Linked DNA regions of Alligator mississippiensis. The protein of the gene in region 2 interacts with the protein of the main gene of each other region in a biochemical or structural test. Links are inferred from orthologs where the notes say so. Each region holds a gene or a part of one and is shown on either strand. Other genes may lie near its edges. The genes, in order: PLD1, RALA and EXOC2.

Evidence for each region.
Region 1: the proteins of RALA (region 2) and PLD1 form a complex in vitro, tested with the Homo sapiens proteins (2 studies listed by BioGRID). The link is inferred for Alligator mississippiensis from reciprocal best matches to the Homo sapiens genes RALA and PLD1.
Region 3: the proteins of RALA (region 2) and EXOC2 are reported together in a solved structure, tested with the Homo sapiens proteins (2 studies listed by BioGRID, with this or other methods). The link is inferred for Alligator mississippiensis from reciprocal best matches to the Homo sapiens genes RALA and EXOC2.

The regions. Positions count from the first base shown.
Region 1 is NC_081830.1:75,709,815-75,717,720, forward strand, and holds the start of PLD1 (phospholipase D1), read right to left. Parts: upstream 3,045-7,906; 5' UTR 2,866-3,044; intron 1-2,865. UniProt on the Homo sapiens protein: Function as phospholipase selective for phosphatidylcholine. Implicated as a critical step in numerous cellular pathways, including signal transduction, membrane trafficking, and the regulation of mitosis.
Region 2 is NC_081828.1:124,834,851-124,842,432, forward strand, and holds the start of RALA (ras-related protein Ral-A), read right to left. Parts: upstream 3,086-7,582; 5' UTR 2,984-3,085; intron 1-2,983. UniProt on the Homo sapiens protein: Multifunctional GTPase involved in a variety of cellular processes including gene expression, cell migration, cell proliferation, oncogenic transformation and membrane trafficking.
Region 3 is NC_081826.1:120,569,344-120,577,440, reverse strand, and holds the start of EXOC2 (exocyst complex component 2), read right to left. Parts: upstream 3,101-8,097; 5' UTR 2,994-3,100; intron 2,934-2,993; exon of another isoform or gene 2,816-2,933; intron 71-2,815; exon of another isoform or gene 1-70. UniProt on the Homo sapiens protein: Component of the exocyst complex involved in the docking of exocytic vesicles with fusion sites on the plasma membrane.

The DNA.
Region 1 (7,906 bases), on a different chromosome or scaffold from region 2:
AAAATCTGTGGCAATACCAACACATTGCTAATTCATGCTTCCAAGTTTCTACCAAGACTGCTAACTAAATTCACGCCAACCAGCAATCAGACCAACATCTGTAGGAAGAAAAAAAATGTGTCTTCAGCTTACAACAAGGAAGATACAAAACTGTACCTGGTTGCACAGTTTGCCTGTGAAATTATGTATAAAAACACTGGTTGGGGAAAGCAAAGCCACTGTGATACACTGGGTTATTTTCCATAATGTGAACACACTCAAAGAATCAAAACCTTCATAAAATCAGTGACGTATATGTTCCTTTGATTTTTTTTAACTGAGAGCTAGCAACATTTTACAGTTTTGTCATATGATCTATTCTGCTACACGAAAGAATGAATCGTTTCATGAGAAATGAGTAACGCAGAGTTGCTACAACAGTATTTTATAGACAGAAACATTCTTAGCAGATCCTAAAAGATCAGAATTGTGATCACAACAAATTGCTGGCTCCATCTCTAAGGATGCAACAGATTTAACTCAACTTCTTACAGCACAGGTGGTAACTTAAATGGGAGAAGCTCATTTCTGGAGCTTCTGGCACAGTAAAACTCAATTTACCTACATTTTTTCTAGCAACATTAGCAGAGACATATTACAGATTTCCAATGGTCCTGAAACACGGGCTTTTAAAATATGGATCTTGTTTAAATCAGATATCAGATTCTTAAAGGAATAACACCTAATTTTTAAATGGCATGAGAAGAACTTAAAGAGCCCTACCCCATTTAAAAAAAAATGCTGTTCTTCCTTAGGTTTATATTAATGTCTAGCTATTGCTAGATTCAGCAGGTTTGGAATCAAGTCTTTTCTGGTGAATTGTATATCTATCTTGGACTCTTAGGGTATGTCCTCACTACACAGTTAAGCCTCTTACAGGGTTTTTCTTCTAACCCCCTATCTGTCCACATTAGAAAACCTGTGATCCAAATCTGGAAACTGTTTTGAGTCTGAGCTTGCCTTTCCAAGAAGAGGTGTGGGTTAGAGAAGTTTCTGCTTTAGCATGAGCTGGAAGCTATCTATTTTGCTACAATAATACAAACAAAATCATTTAAGTGCTAACAGTCCACCAATACCCTTTATACCCTTTCCCACAAGCACCCCAAAGAACAGACACGTGAAGCAACTGATAGGGGGAAGGATGCCTAGAGCAGCGAACACTGGGATTTGTCCCCAGATACACACAGACCAGTACGGAAATAGGAAAACTCAGCTGTGCAGGAAGGACTTGGCTGGGGGAATGCTTGCAGGTGGCCTTGGCTAACTTGGGTGTTCAGACCTCTGCACTAATTACCAGGGTTAGCTTTGCTGGGAAGACAAACTTCATGGAGGTTGGATGCCTAACTTCCTTAGGGAGCTGTGAAAATCTCATCCCATCAAGTTTCCAAACCTTGGAGAATAAGTGCTTTCCCTCTTATACAAGTAGCTCATTAAAAATAAATATCACTGGCAAATGGATTTGGTTTATGCTAATAGGCTCCACTGTTATTTGTATTCCTCAAAACTAACATCTGGGTTAGCTTAATAGGGAGGGGGCAGGGCTATCTGTTTTACCAGATTATAGTGCCATAGAAAGGACATAACTCTCCCCACCGTTGTAGGCATTTCACCCTTATTGCTTCAGCGGGATTGTACAGGCACAGTTAAAACACTATGTAGATGCTAATGCATAATACATGTATGCTTGTCATATACAGTAAGCCGGAAAAAAAAATCAGCCTGCAGAGAAAAAGGTGCAACTCCCTTAAACTCAGTGGAAATGAATTCGCTTGTATCAGGCCTGAATTTGACCAGTATTTATGCCTCATAATTTAGCATTCAATGCCTTCAAAGCTCAGACTTCAATTTTGAGAAGAGAGTGCTTTAAGCTCACAGCGAGCAAAAGGAAAGCAGTACAACCAGGTAAAGAAACCTCTCATTCTGAGCAATCCTTCTGTGCTTCCTCCAGCAGAACCGGTTCTTCAAAGGCACGCGGAGAATTCCCAAGTGACTGAATGCTCCGAGGTGGCAGTTGTCAAAAGAAAGAAGGCTCCCCTGACTCTTTCACTGCTCCTGGTTGTAAAGTATGCCAGCCAACATGCAGCGCGCACATCCTTCAGCGCACAGAAAACAGACAGAAGCTACTGACATTCACAACAGACTAGTGAGAAACTACCAAGAGTTTACAAATTTTCAGACATCCAAAATGCTAAGTAGCCATTTCTTTTCGGTGTGCTCGGCAAGGTATTTGAAGTGTTAAAGATTAGAAAACAATCAGGGCCTGTAGTAGAGATGGTATCTTTTATTAGACCAACACGATTTTTGCAAAAAAAAATAAAAAATCTTTAATTGTAAGCTTTCAGGAACAAGACAAATGTGACCAAAGCTTGCAATTAAAGAATTTTTTTTTTTTTTTGCAAAAATCTTGTGGTCTAAGAAAAGATATTGTCTCTACTATGAGCCCTGATTGCTTTTTCCTCTAGGCCAATACGGCTACAACCTGGATACCTAAAGACTACAAAGTAATTTTGAGAATGGGCTGTGAGGCTTACAAGTAAATGTAGTACCTTTGTAAGAGCAATGAACTTGGCATCCAGCCTCCAAACAGCCAAAAAATACAACGTTCAAGCAACACATTCATTTGAAAAGCAATGCCAGATGCTTAAGTTCCCTTTTTTTTTCTCTTCTGAAAAGGGCTTAAAATTAACTGCCTCTCCCCAAACAGACAGAACACAATGATCTTAAACAGTTTTTTTTAATCAGCTGCTCCATGTTAGCTTGAAAAACACAGCGAAACAAAATGACGTATGGCAAGAAGTGAAAAACTTCCAGTCTTTCTTTACTAACCTTATGCCCCTGTGCACGTAGGTGCCTCATGGTGCCGTTTAAATGAAAAATCTCCTCTCCTATGAAGTGATTATCCAGGACTGTGTTACTATGAAAAAAATAACCACAGAGGAAATCTGCACAGACAAAAGCTGTGTCTTCCTAAGTGCTTCAGTTCAAGTATTCAGGCTGGCTCCCTAAAGGCAAGATGAAGTGAGACCCAACCCACAAGGCACTTCAGCCTATAAGAATCACTAATGAAGTGAAAACCACTCCCATATGTTAAACTGAATATTAAGAAACACACAAAGGGGGGCGGGAGGAAGGGCAGGATGCGGCGGGAAAAAACCTCACAGGCACGGACTGAGCTAATGATTCCTGCTACATCTTTATTTTGTACAGTATCCGACTTGTTACAGTATAACAAACATTAGAGACACATTCTGCTCTTAGTTATTCCAACTTTACACCAGTATAAATATACGTATTCACACTGATTTACTGAACGTACTGGAGCAGAATTTGGGCCTTACAGAGTGACCTTTCCCTCCTTCTATACTCTTCTCATATAAAAGCTACACATATTTTAAAAAGAAGACAATTTTCCTTCTGCTACAGTCCAGAAAGAATTATATTTGGATGAAGGAATAGAGAGAAAGTCGCTGCAACTGAACTGTGAATTAAATACATTTGATATTATTCTTAGCATAAGACAAGCTAATAATTATGGTCAAATTTAGGGTCTTTGGGTCTCCTAATGCTATCTTTTTTTAAATTTCTAATGCATATTACCAAAGCCCTTTTTAATACGGAGAGCAGCAAATTCTTTTGCGAGACAGAGAGAGAAAGCGACAGCAAGTATTAATGCTTATGGCCGTTCTGAACTGACATCTTGGTAAAAATGCCTGAAGCCTAATTATAGTAATGCAGTATCCAGCACTGCAGCTCCACTGACAAAAAGGTAAGGGTCTGAATTTTTTCCATGTAAAAATAAACCTAAGATAGTGGATACTACAATTCAGTCTTCAAGACTGCCTCTCTCAAGATTTCAGCATAGAGAGGGGTTCTGAGTTTTAGGACAAGACACTTCTTGAACTGAATTACAAAGTAGATAAAAAGCCAACCTTAATCACTACCAACCAGAGGGCAAATTCTGTTTCTGGTCTACCGATGTAAATTTAGCAAAACGCCACTTACTTCACTAGAGTAAATGAGATTACAGTAGGGCCTGGCCTTTAAGCAATGTTTTAATTGCCAACATAAGCTCAGCAGGACTCAAACTACATTAGCTGAACTGGTTTAAAGCAAGTCTTATCTAACATGCTTTAAACATTTTTTAACTTGCTCAGTGGTTCATATCTAGGGTGCCACAAGGACCCCCTTTGGGGTGCTACAATTTAGGCGGCCAAGTAATATTAGGCCTCTCTGATACAGCAGACAAAGCTGGATTGGGCTGTAGCCCCTCCTGGTCCGGCCCCCCTCATGCTCCTTCCCACAGTTCAGCCCTGCCTATTTCCAGGAGGAGCAAGGGGGAGGCAGACCAGGAAGGGCTAGAGCAGTGGTCACCAACCAGTGGATCTCGATCCACCAGTAGAAGTCGGAGCCTCTTGGAGTCGATCCGAGGCTAGGGTCGGGGGCTGAGTGCCTGCGTGCCCCAGACCAGCAGGTCAGTCCCTGGGGGAGTGAAGGGGCGGGGGCTAGATCGTGGCCCCCAGTGACGGACAGTGCCACAGAGGCAAAAGCAGGGGTAAGTTGAATGGGGCCCCGGCCGGGTGGGACTTACCTGCTGGGGAGGTGTGCCACCAAATCATTTTTTCTCCCTCTGCCTCGATCTGCACCCCCCTTCCCTCCCCACAGATTTACCTGCTATGGGCGTTGGGGGGGGGGGGAGGGGTTGATAATGGTGCACAGTAGATCTTGGCTTGCTTTTAAATGTCAAAGGTGATTCATAGATTCATAGATTGTAGAGTCAGAAGGGACCACAATGGATCATCGTGTCCAGCCCCCGGCCCCTGGCAGGAAAGAGGGCCGAGGTCAGATGACCCCAGCCAGGTGACTATCTAGCCTCCTCTTGAAGACCTCCAAGCTAGGTGACAGCACCACTGCTCTTGGAAGCCCATTCCAGATCCTGGCCACCCTTACTGTGAAAAATTTCTTCCTAATACCTAACCTAAATCCACTCTCAACTAGTTTACACCCATTACTCCTAGTCACTCCCTGGGGTGCCTTAGTAAACAGCGCTTCCCCTATTCCCCGCTGACCTCCCCTAATAAATTTATAGGTGGCCACAAGATCTCCCCTCAGCCGTCTCTTGTGAAGGCTGAAGAGATTCAGCTCTCTTGATCTCCCCCCGTAGGGTCTATCACAAAGGCCACTAATCATGCGAGTGGCCCTCCTCTCGACCCTCTCCAGATTCTCCGTGTCCCTCTCGAAGTGCGGCACCCAAAACTGGACACAGTACTCCAACTGCGGCCTGACCAGTGCCGCATAGAGGGGGAGCATCACCTCCTTTGTTCTATTAGTCATGCACCTGCTAATGCACAACAAGGTGCGATTGGCCTTGTCGATGGCCCTGTTACACTGCCGGCTCATGTTCATCTTGGAGTCAATTATGACTCCAAGATCCCTCTCTGCCTCCCAGCTGCTGAGAAGGACACTCCCCACCCTATAGGTGTGCTGGGGGTTCCTCCTTCCCAGGTGGAGTACCTTACATTTATCTCATGAACGACGTGTGGCCCCGGAGGCTGGGAGGCACAGTGAGCTCCCGCAGGCGGCGACAACACTGCCAGCAGCAGGAACGTGGTGAAGGTAAGTGGGGAGCTGCCGCAGGCAGCCGTAGCACTGTCAGCAGCTGGGCAGGGGGGCGGGGGCACAGCGAGCGCTATTAGTCGACGACCACCCGCAGACACCACCGGCAGTGTCGGCCAGCAGCAATTGCGGACCACCCGCAGGCGCTGACAATGTCAGTGGTGCCTTTTTACAGGGGGGACACTGCCACGCTCCAGGGGTGCACGCGCACCCACATGCACCCCCTACACATGGCCAATGGGTGATCTACTTAAAAGGTTGGAGACCACTGGGCTAGAGCCTGAGCTAGCTCTGTCTGTGTCAGGGTTATCAGAGAAACATAATGCAGTGGGAACATGGGCACATGCCACAGCCCTTCCTGGGCTGGCTGTGCACAGGCATGCAGGCAGTCTTACTGGAAGTGTGGCCACATCTAAAGAAGTGGAGGAGGGCAAAATCTCTGAAAAGGCTGAGAGCCACTGGTCTAGCCCATGTGTATGGGGATTATAGTCTAGAATCAAGTTTAAAAGCCCGTACTGGATCTCCTAACTGGGCTTGTTTCCATTCACATTTTTCAGCCCAAGTGGTTTTACACTGAGGTAGCCCATATCCACTGAACGCTGTGATTTAAAGAGGTTCAGCAAATCTGATTCTTGACTCATATGCAGATAGGAGCTCAAAGGCATAGATACTCCTATCAAGAAGAGGGACAAACCTCTAGACACGTGGCAGAACCCTACAGAAGAGAATTACGACTATTCAGAATGCCACCTCCCATCTCCATCATAAGGTAGAGGTAGGGTGCCGGTTGGGGGAGGGAAGCTAAATTATACAGTGGATCCTGGATTTTTCATTTAGGGGTGGCAGTGGGTTACCAAATTAAGGAAGAGCTTTGCTTGCTGTGGCTTTTACTTCAAAAGGGAATCACTGCTCCACTCGGCCAGAACGCTGACTTGGTCTCATGTGGCTGATCAGAGCAGTGATGCCCTTAGAAATAAAAGCTGCGGCAAGCAACCAGAACATCTCATGGCTCATTATAACCTACCTGATCCCTTCTAAACTCTGCACCCCACAGGTGTCAGTGACCCTCTCTTCTTTTTAATGCTCTTGAGGAGATCCTTCGTTCTGCAATTCTGGGGTCTGTTAGCTGTTCCTGGGAATGCAGCTCCTATTTCACAGCCCTGAAGCTTGTTTTTAACTCATTCCAATGAAGTTATATTTATTTTTTGCTTCAATCTTAAACTGCATAATACAGCCCTTGGCCCCTAGTATATTAATGACGCTCCTAGTTTATTTTTAATTGGAGAAAAATGTGTGTTGTTCTGTATGTGATGATGCACCTCACCATCTGCACCCCCCTTTTCAAAGTACTGCCCATGTTGCCAGCCCCAGAAGGACAGCATGATGTGTGGGCACTCCTGCCTCACAGTTCATTCACCCCCTTTACACTTTGTTCTCCTGTGCAAGGACCAGTGAAAAACAAAGATTTAAGGTTCGCTCTGTTCCAGAATTCTGTACCATCCAGCACCACAGCCTACTTGCTTCTTCCTTTATCTAAGAGTTAAATTAAAAAATGATACGTCTCCAAGAGTGTTGCAACAAATCCTTTCCAGCTCATGAGCCTTAGCTCAGTTAATGTGTATTTGTCTTCTTCCCGTACTAAGTTAAGTTTATTCTGGCAGACAGTATGATTACTGCAGGATCAGCAACAACAGGTAACATTTTTCCAATGAATATTTTGGCATTGCTGACAGCCCAATCAAGCAGCAGAATATTCTAGGCTCACAATTCCCAGTCCCTCCTCTTAAGAGCCAAAAAGTGGTGCCTGCACCCACTAGAGGTTTGTTACCTTTACCATAACATCCCCTATTTCAGATATAACCCAACAAATGAATACTTGGCAGCTCTCCTTCATCATATCTTGAGGTATTATGAAAAAGTAGTGTTGGCTAAAGCTAGAGAATAGGGCAGAGATCAGAAGTTGTGCTCCTGATATTCTGTGATGTTTGGCAGATCCTTAAGGTCTACATGCTTTTCCATATCTGTGAAAGAAGTATATTAACACTCACCTAAGTCACAAAGCGTGAACTTCGTTTAGTTCATGTAAAGCTGTTTGAGGTCCTGACAATAGGGATCCAAGTTGCTGCATTCTGTAAATGCAAAGTATAAATATCAGTAAGTTCCTTGGCTGTGGCTGAGCAATTTGTTTTCTTCTTTTCTAGATTTTCTATTGACAAATGCCTCATCAGCAGGCCTCACACTTGTATATTTGAGA
Region 2 (7,582 bases):
GAGTAATCATAAAAAAAAGTGTCTTCACAACTCAGTAATTTAGAAGACACAACGTGTTCAGGGGAAGCTACTGATGTTCAGATGTTTTTCTAAAATAATTAACAAAGTTGCATTGTTTTCTTAGTTCTTGGTAATGTCCTGTCACGTGGAATATAAACTCAGGTAGTATTAGTAGTGCAAATTATGCCCACATCGTGTTGAGCAAACAAAAACATCTTAGGTAGAGGGCTGTTGCTAGCAGATATCAAGAGGTATGATTAAATATAGTTTAGAAGCAAAATAATCAACACCACTGCATTTTTACTTGAAGTCTGTCAAACATACACGCATGAATAGGACCAGTTAACTGGCTGCTAGAGCTCTATAGACAATATACATTAGCAGCTGCTTATAAGCAGCAGGACCATTTCCTGGGTGGGGGAAGGGGGAAGCTAGGGTGTGTCAGAACTAGAGGAGGTTAGGGGCTAGGAAGGGTCTACGGTGCAGGAGCCACTGAGGTCAGACTGAGTGGGTGGGACTGAGATTCAGAGGGGGAGGGCCTGTGTCTACACTACAGGGTAGCAAGTACTAACAAATTTACAAAGATAACTAAATCCTATATATTTTTTCCTCCTTCAGTTCCTGCTTGACATCTCTAAATAAATAGTTCTTAATCATATCCAGCAACCCTGCTGCTTAAAGATCTTTTAAAGCAACAATAGTAATACACTGACAGCACAATACAGGCTAATCCTTGAATTAGCAATCTGCCATGTGTCACCTCCCAAATAATAAGGCCTTTTGCCTGACATTAAATTCTAATGAGCTCGTGTATATGAAATTGAATGCGATGAAGATGGTTTTACGCATGTTCATGGAACAAGGGAGCCTTTTTATTTCTTCCTTCCTCCTCTTTTTTCTTTCTTTTTTTTTTTCCCCTAACATAAATTGACCCATTTCAGGAGCATTTCAGTTATGATTATTCAGGGGGATCCTAACAGACTCACAAAGATTTAAAAAGAAAAGCAAGATGTTTGCATGCACGCGCAGATAATAGTTTTTACAACAGTGAATCTAAACAGACAACTGAAACAGGATGTAAACTATTCCAGCTTATTAGTCAGCATCCCTTAACTACTTGCTTTCCATTAGTAGATATCATCTTCTATTGCTCTTTTGGCACAATTAATCTCACTTTACAAGGCATCTACTTCTATGTATTGTTCCCAGAAAGAGTTTATGCACAGAGGCAAGCATGAGATCACTGCACAAGCACATCTTGTAGTCATGCTGAGAACTCCACCCTTGCATCAACTCATGAAACTATTTGTGGTTAGTATAAACGATCCCTTATGACAGCAGCACAAAAAAAAACTCCAACCAAAATTGGTTCTTGAATTAGAACAGATTAACTGGGGGGCTCCTCCATGACAGCTGGAGTTTGTTATGACATGTCTCATTCTTAAGGCATGTGCTTGTTTACCCTGAACATTAAATTTTCCCAGCCCCGAGCAGAACCCAAAGTAACTCAAAATCAGAGATAAGCATAAATAGCGGAGGAATAATTCAGTGTTCCACTGCAAGACAATGGTTCACAGCTCATTTCCAATGCAAAAGGGTTTTTTTTGTTTGGTTGTATTTGGGGGGGGGGGGGAAGAGAGAGAGAGAGAGAGAGAGAGAGAGAGAGAGAGAGAGAGAGAGAGAGAGAGAGAGAGAGAGAGAGGGTTTAAGAGGGGAGGAAAGCAAGGGCATCACTATTCATTCCTACCACAGCTAACTACCTCTATAAAAAGCAAGGAAGAGAGAACAGAGCAGGGGCTCTAGTTTAGTATACTATTTTCACCACCTGAAAGGACTTTAGGGGCAGTTATGCTTGACAAGAGTTGTCACAGGAGTAGACTAGAAAGGGAATTGACATTTAATGTGCAAAAGTCACTCAATACTTCCTTATCCTATTATATTAACCAGAACAGGCTGAGTGGTCCGATTTACCTACCATTAAATGGGTCTGGAGAGAGACTTTTCCTTTATACACCCAACTATACCTGCTGAATTGAGCTGGTAAGGAGGAAATCCAAGCACCAGGTTCCCCCAGAAGGTAAGCAATTTGCTTTTACAAATAAACCCCTTCTCACAGCTCAGTCTTGCTTAACCCCCCAAGGCCTGACTTCATCCTAGGTGTGATATGTTGCTGTGGAAACCAAGCAAGAGAAGCTACACAGGCGTTGGCAGCTGGAGACTTCTGCATACAAAGCTGGACGTTTCCGACACCTCCGCCCCGACAGAGCACGACTGCCTGGCCCAACCCTCTAGCCGTTTTCCATTACTAGATATCACTCTCCATTGCTCTTCTGGAACAACTATTCTCACCTTAGGAAGCATCTACTTAGACATTTTATTTTTGTCCAGAAAATAATTTTTCATTCCAGGTCAAATCAGCCAAGTCAGTTCTGAATCCACCTGATGAAGCAACACTCCATCGTTCAAACACCATCAGGATTCAAATTATGGGGGAGTCTTGGAGGGCTGAGCCCCCCCAGAAGAGACGAGAACCCTCCCCACACCCATAAGATTTGAAAATCATGACCGGGGGGACTCTGATTTTCTTAGGGCATGGCGATGAGCAGCCCCAATTTTTCTGGCAGACCCCAAGTGTAATTCAAACCCTGTGTGGCGCTACGACCAGCAAGTGTCCTCCAGCCCAGACTCCTCAGCCTGGGGCTGCAAAGACTCCCAGATCCCTTCTACTAACCTTTGCAGCGAGAAACGCGGCGCTAAAGGCAAAGGCTTAGGAGTGCAACGCCCCGCCCCGCCGGGCAGCGAAGCTGCAACCCGCGGCTTGTGCTGGGGCTGCAGCGGGCGGCGGCTCCTTCAAGCCCGCTTCCCTGCCGCGCTGCCACGGGGCGGCGCTTCACACACGGAGCAGCGGGGCAGGAGGCCCCGGCCCCGGCCCCACACACACACCCACCCCCGGGGACGGACAGGGTACACCGCCCCGCCTCACCTGCCCCGCGCCGCACCCGCAGCGCCGCCCGCCGAGACGCGCCCGCTTGGCGGCAGGAGCCGGGGCCAGCCGCAGCCGCAGCCGCCACACACTGCTTCCGGGGCGTGGGGCACGGGGCGGGGCCAAGAGGCGCAGCTGCTTCCGGGGGCGGGGAGGAGGGGTGTTGGCGGCGGGGGTGCGCGCACAGTAGGCTCAGGGAGGCGGCGGGGCTAAGGAAGGGGAGGGGAAGGTGGGGCTGTGACACAGGGGCGGGGCCAGGCGCAGGGGGCGGGGCGTGTGTGGGTGGGGCGGGCTGGGCGTGGGCGGTCTCCGCCCTCGGGTTAACCCTGGAACCTAACGGTGCCTGCTGGGGGAGTGGGATGGATCCTGCTTTTCTTTGATTAAAAAACAAAATATCCCCAATTTTCAGCTAAAAGAGGTAACTCAAAAGCCACATTTTTCTGTGATTAAAGTGAAATACCACTAATATATAGATATACATACATAAGCATTTAAAAGGCAATGTCATGGTTACTGGGAAATGGTCATGGTCAGAAGGACTGGGGAAAAGAGGAAGAAGGAAAAACCCCTTTAAAGCTGCGGTCAGGAAGGAATTTGACCCAATGATCAGACTGGTACAGACTGGGCGGGGGGGGAGGTTGCTTTCCTCTGTAGTGGGGGACATGACCCTCTGCCTGGGATCTCTTAAGCATACATTGACAACATTTCATAGAAGCAGGGCATTGGTTCCCCTGCTTGACCTGTGGCAGGTTAGAGTGTTTGATCTGTGTTGTGTCAGGGTTGAGTTTAGATTATGGATTGTGTAGACTGGTTTAGATAGGGGTGATCCTGCCTCAGGCAGGGGTCAGCGGTTCCCAAACTCTGACAGATTGCGCACCACCAATTTGAAATGACACAACCGTATGTACCGCCAGCAAATTTTTCAGTTCAACCTTAAGTACCACCAGCAAATGTTTGGCATAAAGTAATTGTAATATATCTGTTAATGCATACCACTGACAGATTGTCTGCATACCATTGGTGGTATCTGTACCACAGATTGGGAACTACTGGACTAGATCACCTCTGAAGGTCCCTTCCAGCCCCACTTCTATCTGATTCTGTGACTTGATGATTTTATTTAAGGCAGTGCCCACTGGGTTGTAAGGAGCAATGACTGGCATTTTGGAAAATCCAAAATAGATTAGGTAAGCTCCTTGATAAGTTAGGTAAATAGTAAAAATGCAAGAGAGTATCACATGAAGAGGAAAAAAAGAGAAAAGGGGAAGAGGCATGCTTTCCAAGCTCCTAAAACTATAGTGAATCAAGTGTTTCCTGGAGGTGTGCCAGAAGTCAACATGTCATTAAACAGCAGCAAGATAGTTCACAATGGCCTGATCTTTAACAGGCCTTGCATTCTTTATGTAAATAATACAGTGGACAAATTGAACAAAAAGGGAGAACAAGGGAGATACTGCATTAGCAAGATCTGAACAGATTTCAGGATGTGTAACCTCTCCTTTTTTTGGTTCTTCCACTAAAAGTTTCTGTTCTTAACTGTGGCTATGTAAGTGTGATTTGTACATTTTTCATACATATGATGCTGGATGCTAGATTCGATGTGAAAATTGTCACAACCCAAAGGTGTGATTTTTGTTTTTGTGTGTGCTTTGGCACCACTGAATTATTTTCCCGCCGTTTGAAGCTTTCTTTGCAGGGTGCATTTCTTCTTTGCAGCATAAAAATGCACGTTGCAAGGAGTTCCCGCCATTTGTATTTAAATCGAGCCCCATTATTGGTTGTTTTTAAATTATTCCCACGTGGCGGCTAGCGATTGGCTTGCTAGCCATACAAGAGGCTTGGGTGGTTTCCGCCCAAGTCGGAGAACTTTGAGCACGCTGCAGAGTGCCTCTACGGAGATTTGACCTGCGGCTGCTGATCGATAGACTGATCACCTATCGATTCTTCTCCCCGTCACCGAGTGCAATCCTCGACGTATCCCTCTTCCCTGCGCACAAACAAGGATCCACGGAGCCTCGACAACTCCGTGAGAGCGAGAGTTTTGTCCGAGTCCTCAAACGGGGATTTAAGCGGAGCTTTACCTGGGAAACTTTCCAGCCTACACCGCGACCATCTACGGTGTAAGTAAACAATCTTGACTCAACCACTAAGCGTCTGTGCCTAGTTCTAGCGTGTCGCCTGCTTTCTCCAACCCAGCGTGTCTGGGCTGCTGGCCACAGCCCACAGCGCGAAAAAAGGGCCCCGGATCACTCCTGGCCCGCACAAAAATTAGTACTTTTCTTGATTTCTTTCTATGCTGCATAGGAAAAGTTAAATTAAATTATTTTTAGAGTGAATATTAGTGAATTTTAAGTTATGTCCCTAATTCTGTTGATTAGTCCAAAATATTTTTACGATCAACACATGCTTTTCAGGCTAGGAAGTTAGTCAAGACTCAGATACAGCACCATGCTTGCTTGTAAACCATTGTTTGGAAAAGGAAGAATATTTGAAGAGACCTATTTTGTAATCACAACCTGGGCCATCTTTTTTGGGGAAGTTGGTAACAAGATTGTGCTTGAATAGCCTCCACACGTGCTGGAGGCTAGTGACTTGGAAAAATGGTGGTGGGGAGTGGGGCATGTGTTGCTGGATAACAAAGACATGTTTTGGTAGCAATTAATTTAAAAACAAGTATTTTTAATGGAGATAAGGAGGATCTTAGGTATTGTTCAAGTAGCAAGAAGCAGCAGGGGAAACACATTTAAAAAGAGCAAGTGTGTTTCTTGTTCTTTAGTAACCATTTCTTACACTCATAAACTTAAATGGGAGTTTTGTGGATGAACTCAGTAAGCACTTCAAGATTTAACCCCATGATATAAAACACAACCCAGTTAAATTATTAAACTAACTATAAGATATAGATTTTTGATTAATCAAACCATGATACAGTTTAGCAGTATGCCCCACTCAGAACATCTTCAGCAATTAGAGCTGGTTGAGTATTTTCACATTTTCAAAGAAAATAAGGTGAGAAAATATTGTTAACATTTTGAAAAAAAAAAAATGACCAGCTATGGAACTGGTTAAAATGGTCTAATTTTGAAATTTTCAGTTTTTGACCTACTCCACTGATCATCTTGAAAACTGAGTCTTGTTAGTTAAAGCAGCAGTTGTTGTCTCTGTAGCTGTACAATGAGCACACTTTATTATAATTCAATATTGTTCTTTGTGCTCAGTTTTCTCTAAGACATGGAATCCTAGGCATTCAGCCAGTGCTTGATCAATTTCTCTCTGGGATTCAGCTTATTTGGCCTCAATTTTTGTTATGAGCTAATTTTTGCATCTCTCATAGAGCCCCAGAAACAGCATGGCTTGATATCATAACATGGGAACACTCCAAATCAATTCATTTTAATAAAATGCTCGATCTTATGGACATGTTCACATAAACTGACCTAGCTTTGACCCCATAAAACAGAGTAAGACAAATCTGATAGCCCAGAGCTAGATCTGTCCAAATCTCTCAAAGATGATAAACAGATGTAAAATATGTTGCATGTCTCAGCATGATAAGAAATTCACACATTAGCTGCTTTTTATGTTGGCACAGATACTGGCATGGCAAGAGTAAGGAGCTAGGGGTGAGAGCTGCCGATCTTTGAACATCTGTACAATGTTCAGCTCTGTGGAGGTTATTCAACATCTTTGAACATCAGCACTACGTATAAAAGAGACCTAGGGATAATAATTGACCATAGTATGAACATGAGCTGGCAGTGCGACACTGTAGCCAGCAGGGCAAATAATACTCTGGTGTTCATGCATCGCCAGCAAAACCAAGGAAGTGATTCTTCCGCTCTACTTGGCATTGGTGAGACCACAGGTGGAGTACTGCATCCAGTTCTGGGTGCAACACTTCAACAAGGGCATGGAAAAACTTGAGAGAGTCCAAAGAAGGGCCACCCGTATGATCAGAGACTTGCACGGCAAGCCATACGAGGAAAGGCTGAGGGACCTGGGACTCTTTAGCCTGAAAAAGAGAAAGCTGAAAGGGGACTTGGTACCAGCTTACCGCTACATCAGGGGCGTACATCAAGGGCTCAGTGAACAGCTGTTCACCGGGGGACCCTTGAGGCAAACCAGGAGCAATGGTCACAAACTCCTGGAAGGCCATTTCAGGCTCAACATTAGGAAAAACTCTTCACAGCTAAGGTGCCCAGGCTGTGGAATAAGTTCCCTCCAGCAGTGTTGCAATCGCCTACCCTGGAAATCTTCAAGAGGAGACTGGACAGTCACGTTGCTGGGGTCACTTGACCCCAGTTGTCTTTCCTGCTTGGTGCAGGGGGCTGGACCTGATGATCTTGTAAGGTTCCTTCCAGCCTTGCAATCTATGAATCTATGTATGTAGTATGGCTGTTTAATCCACCATGTTCTCACTGTAAGTATGGCATTGAGCTATTGTTCACCCTCTAGTTTGCAGCTACATAGTGCTTCCTAGTACTGGAAGAACCTGAAAATTAATTATTATTGTTGCCTACAGTGACTGCTCTAGTTTCACTATATCTGTCAACTATAAAACTTGAAATCCCATGGAACCCCAAATATTCCTTATTGCTG
Region 3 (8,097 bases), on a different chromosome or scaffold from region 2:
AAAATCAGCAGCAGGAGTTGTTCAGGGCATGCCTATGACTCTCAGTCTGTGGGTCAAGTTCTTTCACCACTTCTTGCTGGGTCAGTGCAGGCTGTAATAGATACCACAACCACAGGGGACTGTGTCAACCTTCTGTGTTTCTTCTTCAGACAGAGAAAGTGTAAAGCAAGGAACAGGATGATTTTCCCAGGCCAAAAACTTATTGTTTTTGTTTTAAAAGGATCTAATGGCATTTTTTTCCCATCCTAAAAAAAATGGAGTGAACTGGTGGTCAGAAGAGGTGGTATATAGTGGTACAGATAGCCAAAGATAAGCCCTTCAATTCACTATTTCATGTAGGTCTCCACATACCAAAAAAGGAAAGTGCTTTAGCCTGATGAAAAATTTCATAGTAATGTTTCTGATATCCCAGCAGAGTGTGTACGGGAGCCTAGAGTTAATTACAATACAGTTTTATAGATACAGAAATCTGACAAGAACTCTTCTTAATTTTTAGAAAAAAACCCTAACTTTTTAAGAGAACGCTGCAGCAAACAAAGCTTGACATCATTATCCCAACATTATTTAATTCATTTACCCTCAACTGAAGTAGAGGAGTTTCTTGGTTTAGATTATTTGTTTTAGGAGTCATTTACTACAGACTTATAAACTTTGCAAGCAAAAATGTTTGCAGGCAAAAATTTTACAAAAGCTCGTAGCACCAGCAAATCACGTTCACCACCATGGAGTTCTCCTTAGTGAACTTTTAAATAGCCTGGGACTTAGATCTGAAAACTCCATCATCACTAGAAAAAACAAGATATGCTAATTAACGCAACAGTCAAATAATGTAACCCAACAAGCAATCTTGGTGGAGAATAGACAGTGCTACTACTATTTTTGTCTAGCCTACTTTAGCAAAACAGTCCCTGACAGGAAGTTTACAGCAGTAAATACACAGGGATTGCTTTAAAAACAAAACAGACACTGAATGTTTACAAGCCAGGAAGTTCCACACTGCAGTAGGATATGGTTTTATCATATTTGAAAATGTGGCTATTTACAGCTTCAAAGAAGATCGCAGTTGGTGAGAGGGAGCACGAAGGTGCCTGGTACCTTACAGGAGAAGGCCAGTACACAAATGAGGATTTTCTAGCATTTATTCAATTAAGATTGCTGAAATCTGAAAATGGGTAGTCCAACCTGACACAACTGTGGCCATAAGGAACAGCACATGTGATGAAAGGCTAGCACTGCAAGTGGGGAATCGAGATCTGAAAAGGGGCAACATCGTGTGGGACAAAACTCCCAGTGAAAAAGAGAAGAAATCCTAAAGATGCTGTTTTATAGCAGCAGCTTCTCCCCTTCTCTCCCCAAACAAACCACTCAGCTCTCCAAGACAGGCCCCGGTTCTTTAACAATGGGGTAGGTAGGTACCAAAGGGATGACAGTCCAACAATCCAGCTCACAGACCCCTGTTGTCTAGAACAGTGATGCTCCACCTTTTAGCCTGGCAAGCCAGATGGCCAGTGCCAGGTCTGCCCACAGGCCAAATCTGGCTAATGGTCCTGATCTGGCACCTGGGATGGGTGTAGAAACTGCCTGGAGTGCGTGGGGGTAGCCCAATCCCAACCTGGCCCCATGAGGGAGAGGCAGCTTGACATGGTCCCAACCCAACCATGGGCAGGGGGGGAGGAGAGGAGGGGAAAGGGGCTTGAACCAGCCCCTTGGAGAAGGGGTTTGATCTAGCCCAGAGGGAGGGAAGGGAGTTTGACATGGTCCCAGCACCATGAGAGGGGAGGAAAGGGGCATGATGTAGCCTCATGGGGGGAAACAGGGATTGACCTGGTCCTGCAGGGGATGGGAAAAGGGTCCTAGCCCAGCACGAGGGGGCAAAGCTTGATGTTGGCCCAACCCAGCCACTTGGGTGGAGAAACAGCTAGACTGTTCCCAGTGGTGGCAGATGACAGAACAAGGAGCAAGGGTCTCAAGTTGCAGCAAGGGAAATGCAGGTTAGAGATCAGGAAAAACTCACTAGGAATGTGGTGAAGCACTGGAACAGGTTATTTAGAGAGGTGGTGGAATCTCCATCCTTGCAGGTTTTTAAGGCACAGCTCAACAAAGCCTTGGTTGGGGCTCGTCCTACTCTGAGCAGGGGGTTGGACCAGATGACCTCATGAGGTCTCTTCCAACCCCAATTTTTTATGATTCCAAGAAGGCCCGGCTCAGCCCCAACCCAGACACGCAGAGAAGGGGGTACAGCCTGGCTCCCACCCACTGCAGAACTCGGGCTTTGATAATCTGGCAGCAGAGAAAGGCAGCCACGACCACAGCTCCCTTGCTGCCAAAATCTTCCCGGCCCACAAGGGCCGGATGCCAAGGCCCTGCAGGCTAGAAGCTGAGCTCCAGCTTGGGGCTCCCCAGCCAGTGGATGCTGCGGAAGCTAGGCAAGGTGCCACCACAGGGCACCGGCACCAGCAGGGTCGCCAAATCAAGCCCCCAGACTGTCTATAGGAAGTGCAGCCACCGCCACAGCAAGAAGGAAGAGGAGAGGGCTCTATTCAGGGCTGCCAGAGCTTGGCCACCAACCAGGACCAGAGGCAAGCCCCACCTCTGAGCAGGCAGCAGAAGGGACAGAGAAACCCCTGCACCACCACCCTATTGTCTCCTTCCAATCCCCCCCCCCACCATTGGCTCGTTCCCCCCTCCCCCCAGAACACGTTGGAACCCTTTTTGCATCAACACCCCCTTCCCACACAGGACTGGCACCTGCCGGTGGCACGAGCCAGCACCCCCTCCCAGCTAATGGAGCTTCCTCCACCCGTACAAAACACACCCGCGCGGGTCAAACCACCAGATCCAAGGGGGGGAAGGGGGCAGGTGCCACAGGGATGAAAGAAGGCACCAAGTCTCGCGGGGGGTGTCGTTCGGTCGCTCCGTCCGGCAGCCCGAGGGGCGGGGGGCAAGGAAGGTCTGGACCGAACGGGTGGGGGAAGGGCGGGGGCGTCACTCACCAGACGCCGCGTTAGTATCCGGCACCTGAGACAGCTGAGCTTCCCGGCCGCGCCCCCGCGTCCGGCAGCGCCAGGCCTGCCCAGTCCGCCGCCGAGCGCGTCGATCGCCCAGCCCAGCGCGTAACCCCGAGCAGTGGAGCCGCGGGCCACTCCCTGCGCATGCGCCACAAGGGGAGGGGCGTGGTTGGAGCGGGGAATCCCCTCAGGGCTGGTGCGGTGGGGGGAGGGGCTGGCTCGAGACGCTGGGCCTCGCGTCACGTGGGCGGCTCCGTCCTGTGCGATCACGCGTGACGCGGAACACAGTGTACTGGGCGAAAATAACAGTAATCCTCCTATTGCATTATAGTAAACGGTGAATAATCGTAATTATGACCAATAATACATCATAAAACCAATAACACGCAAAAATCATAATGATGATAAAAGAGAATCGTAACTAATAAATGATGAATCAGATAATGACAAACACTGAATGACACTAATAATACATGATAATAACGATAATAAAAATAGTAACATACTATTATTATACTCATTTTAATATTCTTATATTTAGGGTGTATAATGAATACTATATTGTAATCACAAGATTATATAATTGTATACAATTTATGTATAGTAAATACTATTTTATCATTACAAGATTATATATCAAATTATATTGTATTACTGTGTATAATAAATGTATTTATGATATATATTTTATGATATGGTTTTGATATATTTTATATATATTTATGATTTTATTTTTATGATATAGTTTTGATTTTATGCTTTTTAATGATTTTTTATTTTATTTTTTATTTTTATGATTGTATTTTTATGATTTTATTTTATGGTAGATATTTTAATTATATATATTAATTATTAATTTTATTATTTTATTATATATTTTAATTATAATGTTATATTTGTTATTATAAATATAATGATTATTATAGTTGTTATTACAAGTTGTTGTTTCATTAGTCCTGTAGCCATTAGAATTAATTGGGCATCTCTTATGTCAGACGCCTACAACAAAATATGGCCATCCTGAGCATCTGGACCCTGTAGCCAACACTTCACTGATGGTGTCTTCTGCACCTGGGTAATAATGTTCAGTCATTTAATGTCGCCACACCCCAGTGAATGCTTTTAGCTGGGGTTGAGAACTGTCCACAGGGCTGTGGAAGAGAAGCTAGGTTACTAAGAGAAGCTGCCAGACAGCAGTTTTGTAGAACAAAGGCTAGCTTGACTGGTGGAACATCAAAACCATTAAAAAAGGGAGAGAGGGTTGTTAACACCTGGAAAATTAAGCATTTAGATAGGCTGTAATGGGCCATGAAGTCGAGTGACTCCTTCAGCTCTGCCTGACTAAAAATGCTGCTGCCACTGCCTGGAAGTTGTTTCAAAATTTTGAGTGGAACAAGAATCAAAGGAGCTGCAACTTGCAGCACTGCAGCCTCCTCCCTCTGCCCCAGATCCACCCTTGACCTGGGATGTAGCAATCCACTCCAGACTTAGCAGCCATGAGCACCTGGTGCAGGGCTGACTTAACTTCATGCACTTGAGTGCATGTATGCTCAGGATCAGGGCCTCTAGTCTAGCCTGCCTAGATTGAATCAGTTTGCAAATGTACAGACATTCCCTCTGAACTGAAGAAATGCAGGCACATGCTTGCAGTGGCTCATGCTAGAAGCCAGGGGATGCTAGAGCAGCTCTCCCTTCCCCTCCACAGTACTAAGCTGAGGTGGGGCATGGCCAGGCCTGGACAAGATGCTCTGAGTAGGGAGGGGTGTAAACCCCAGCCCTGCCTGCACCGTCCCAGGCTTTTCCTGCTGCCTGTTCAAGGGGTAGGAATGTTGCCAGACCCTGCATCTGTTGATAGTGAGATTTTCAATCTCCGTCTCCCTGCTTCCTCAGCCTGTCTGCAAACCAGGTCATTTATAACACCTTTCTCTGTCCCCTCTTGAAGACTGACAGATTGCAGCCAGTAGGTTGTTTGTCAGAACAAAGTTTATCAGCCCATCAAGACCTATAAAAGAAAAAAATCTCTCTCATTAGTTTCAAGCTCTTTTTATTTACAGGGTGCATTTGCATTTGCAAGCCACTAGCTGTCTGCCCTTTGTTCCAGTGAAATTAGAGACCCAAACAGACACCTCAGCATTAGCTAGCATAGGGAAGCATGGCCAGATAGCATGTCCCTGCACTGGGGTCCGTGCCATGGGAGAGGGGTGGGAAGGGGGATCCCTGCTTGAGCAGCTGAGGAGGAGGGCAGACAGGGGGAAGCCTGGCAGCCGCTGCAGTCCCTCAGCCAGCCGGAGCACTGATAGCTCTGGCTAGGAAGGAGAGGGGTGGGACCAACCCTGCTCTGCTCCAGTAGACAGCCCCACCTAAGGCTGCACCTAAGGGGATCTGGGATGCTGGGGGACTCTCATTTAAGTTAAACCAGGAAGGGGTCTGGGACAGACATTGCATAAACCAGTTTGACCCAAATCAGTTAAACCTGGTTGAATATAGTATCAGACTTATCTTAAACCAGTTTCAGCCATTTTCAAACTGGTTTATGTGCACTGAACATACATAGTTCCATTACAGGATTAAACCAGTATCTGATCATTTAAACCGGCTTATATATAATGTCTGTCTCTAGCCCTATAGTTTGGTTCTGGCTATTAGCCAAGTGTAAATTGGCCACATAATTATATTTCCCTCCATATGAAAAATGAATTGCTGGAGGCTGGGGGAAACTTTTCAAATAATTCAAATAGGGACACAAAGTTAATAAAAAGAGTTTGTCCAAGAAAAATTGAAAAAAATCTGTGATACCATTTGGGAGAATGGAAATGGAATTTTAAATCAGCTTCTTCCCGACTATTCTCCACTTAACCAGTTGTTTAATCAGTTGTTTCCCCAAACAGCTTCCTTCCATGCTGCCTGACTCTCCAAGGAAGTGATAGTCTAGGGAGGTAGCAATGCCAGGGAGAACCTGGACAGACAGGAAACCAGGCAGGCTGGCAGAGTCCCTAGCAGAAGGTTTTGATTCCATCAAATCAGCATTTTCAGAGGGCCAAAAGTTTTCCAACGGAATATCCGCCCCCCCGGCCCAGCTTTTAATGCCTTCTTGAAAGGCCTAACAATAGAAAGGAGCAGAAAGCTTGTTGTGTTTTCTTTATTTTTGCAGGGCTCTCTGGCATTTGGTTACAAATACCAATGTAGGATGAAAACTGGAAAAAAAACAAAAAACAAAAAAAGAAGGGGTGGGTAGAGGTAAACACTTACAGTTACACTATCATTAAACCAGGCCTAAAATTGGTGTACCTTTTAAGTCCATGTCCTTGGGACTGCTAAAAAAGGTATGCACTTATCCAAACTCAAGGTCAGCATTACTCAGTGTTCATCAAGTGCAAAGCACAGTTGGTCCTGTGGTTTTAGCAGTCCTGAAACTAACTAGCTGCACTCATTTTCACGGTTTCTAGTAATTACTGTCTGGGCTGCTATTAGAAACCTTGAAAATGCAGGCATGCAGTCATGAAGCTGACTAAGTCCTGTCATTTTCTCCTTATTGCATTCCAGTCAGAGTTTCTGCTTCACCTAGAGTATACTCAGTTACAGTTGCAGTTAGAGTGCAGTCACTATAACCAGAATACAATTCTGTTACAAAGCAGACACGGGGGCTGAAAAATGCTATGCATTTCAGCACTTTAAAGAAATGCAAAACTGTAGGATTCTTGATTCAGAGATTATACCTTTTATGAGACCAAATAAAAAATACAATCGCAATAAAAAAAATCTTTTTTCTGCAAGCTTTTGGGCTCACACACCCTTCATCAGGCTCAGGGAAATTAAAGATGGTAAAAAGTCCCCATATGTAATTTTTTTTTTGTGATTTCTTAGTTGGTCTAATAAAGGTATCATATTTGAACCAAGAGTTCTACATTTCTTTTTGCCTCAGACCAACACGACTACCCAATACATCCCTTTCAGCACTTTATGCACTTAACAGAGAAGCAAGTAGCTATTAGGTGTATGTAAAACGGTCTGTATTCGATTCAGATTCGACCAGAAATGGGGACAGTGATGCAATTCATTGATTCAGATCACTGTCCCAATTTGATTCAGAATCTGAAGATTCAATGCTGATTCAGAGAATCAGCAATTCAGCCATAGACACAATTTAAAATGTTTTTTCTACATACCTCGAGGTACCAGGCACAGTTTGTGAACACTGCGATGCTGGGGCAGATGGAGCATCCCACAGGAGCATGGGGGCAAACCACATGCTCAATGGTGAACCCAGAAGTGGACCAGAAGTACTTCCCGTCCACTTCTAGGTCCTCCGCTGAGCGCAGGGGACCCCCCCCCACATACACACCTCCCCGGTTCGGCAATCAGCCGTGGGGGGACCCCAAATGGCCCCCCAGACCCAGGATACACCAGTCGCCAAGCCAGGGAGCATGGGGAGGGCCACCCGCATGCTCCCCAGTGACCCGGAAGTGGACTGAAAATACTTCTATTCCACTTCCGGATCCACTGCCAAGCACGCTGGGGACCCCCCCCCCCCCCCCGTTCTCCCATGGGACGCTCCATCTGCTCCAGCATCACAGCATTCACAAGCCACCTGGTACCTTGAGGTATGTAAAAAACATTTAAAGCTGTGTCTATGTCCAAATCATTGAATCTTTCCAAATCTGAATCAATTCAGAGGGAGAAATTAAAGAGTCTCCTGATTTGATTCAGATTTGAAGATTCAGCCGCTGAATTGGGCTGAATCTACGGCGAATCAAATCAGTGACTGAAGCTTTGTGCAGTTCTAGTAGCTATAGCACAACAACAGTCTCCATTTATTGACTCTTGGTTTTATATATATATAAACGATTATTCAATTTTCATGGAAACCGCAATTTCAGGTGAGCTCTGTGATTCTGGCAGGCTTGATGGAAAAAGAATACACAGATACACACAAAAAAACTTACCAGCGAGCAGAGAAAAGACCAGGAAGCCCTGCAGTCTTGCAGCATGTGGGGAAGGTAGAGCGGGGAGGAGAGGGCAGGGCAAAGAGAGGAAAGGGAGCAGGGCAGGGTTTCTTGCAGCAGGAAGCATGGAAGCTGCCTCTGTACCT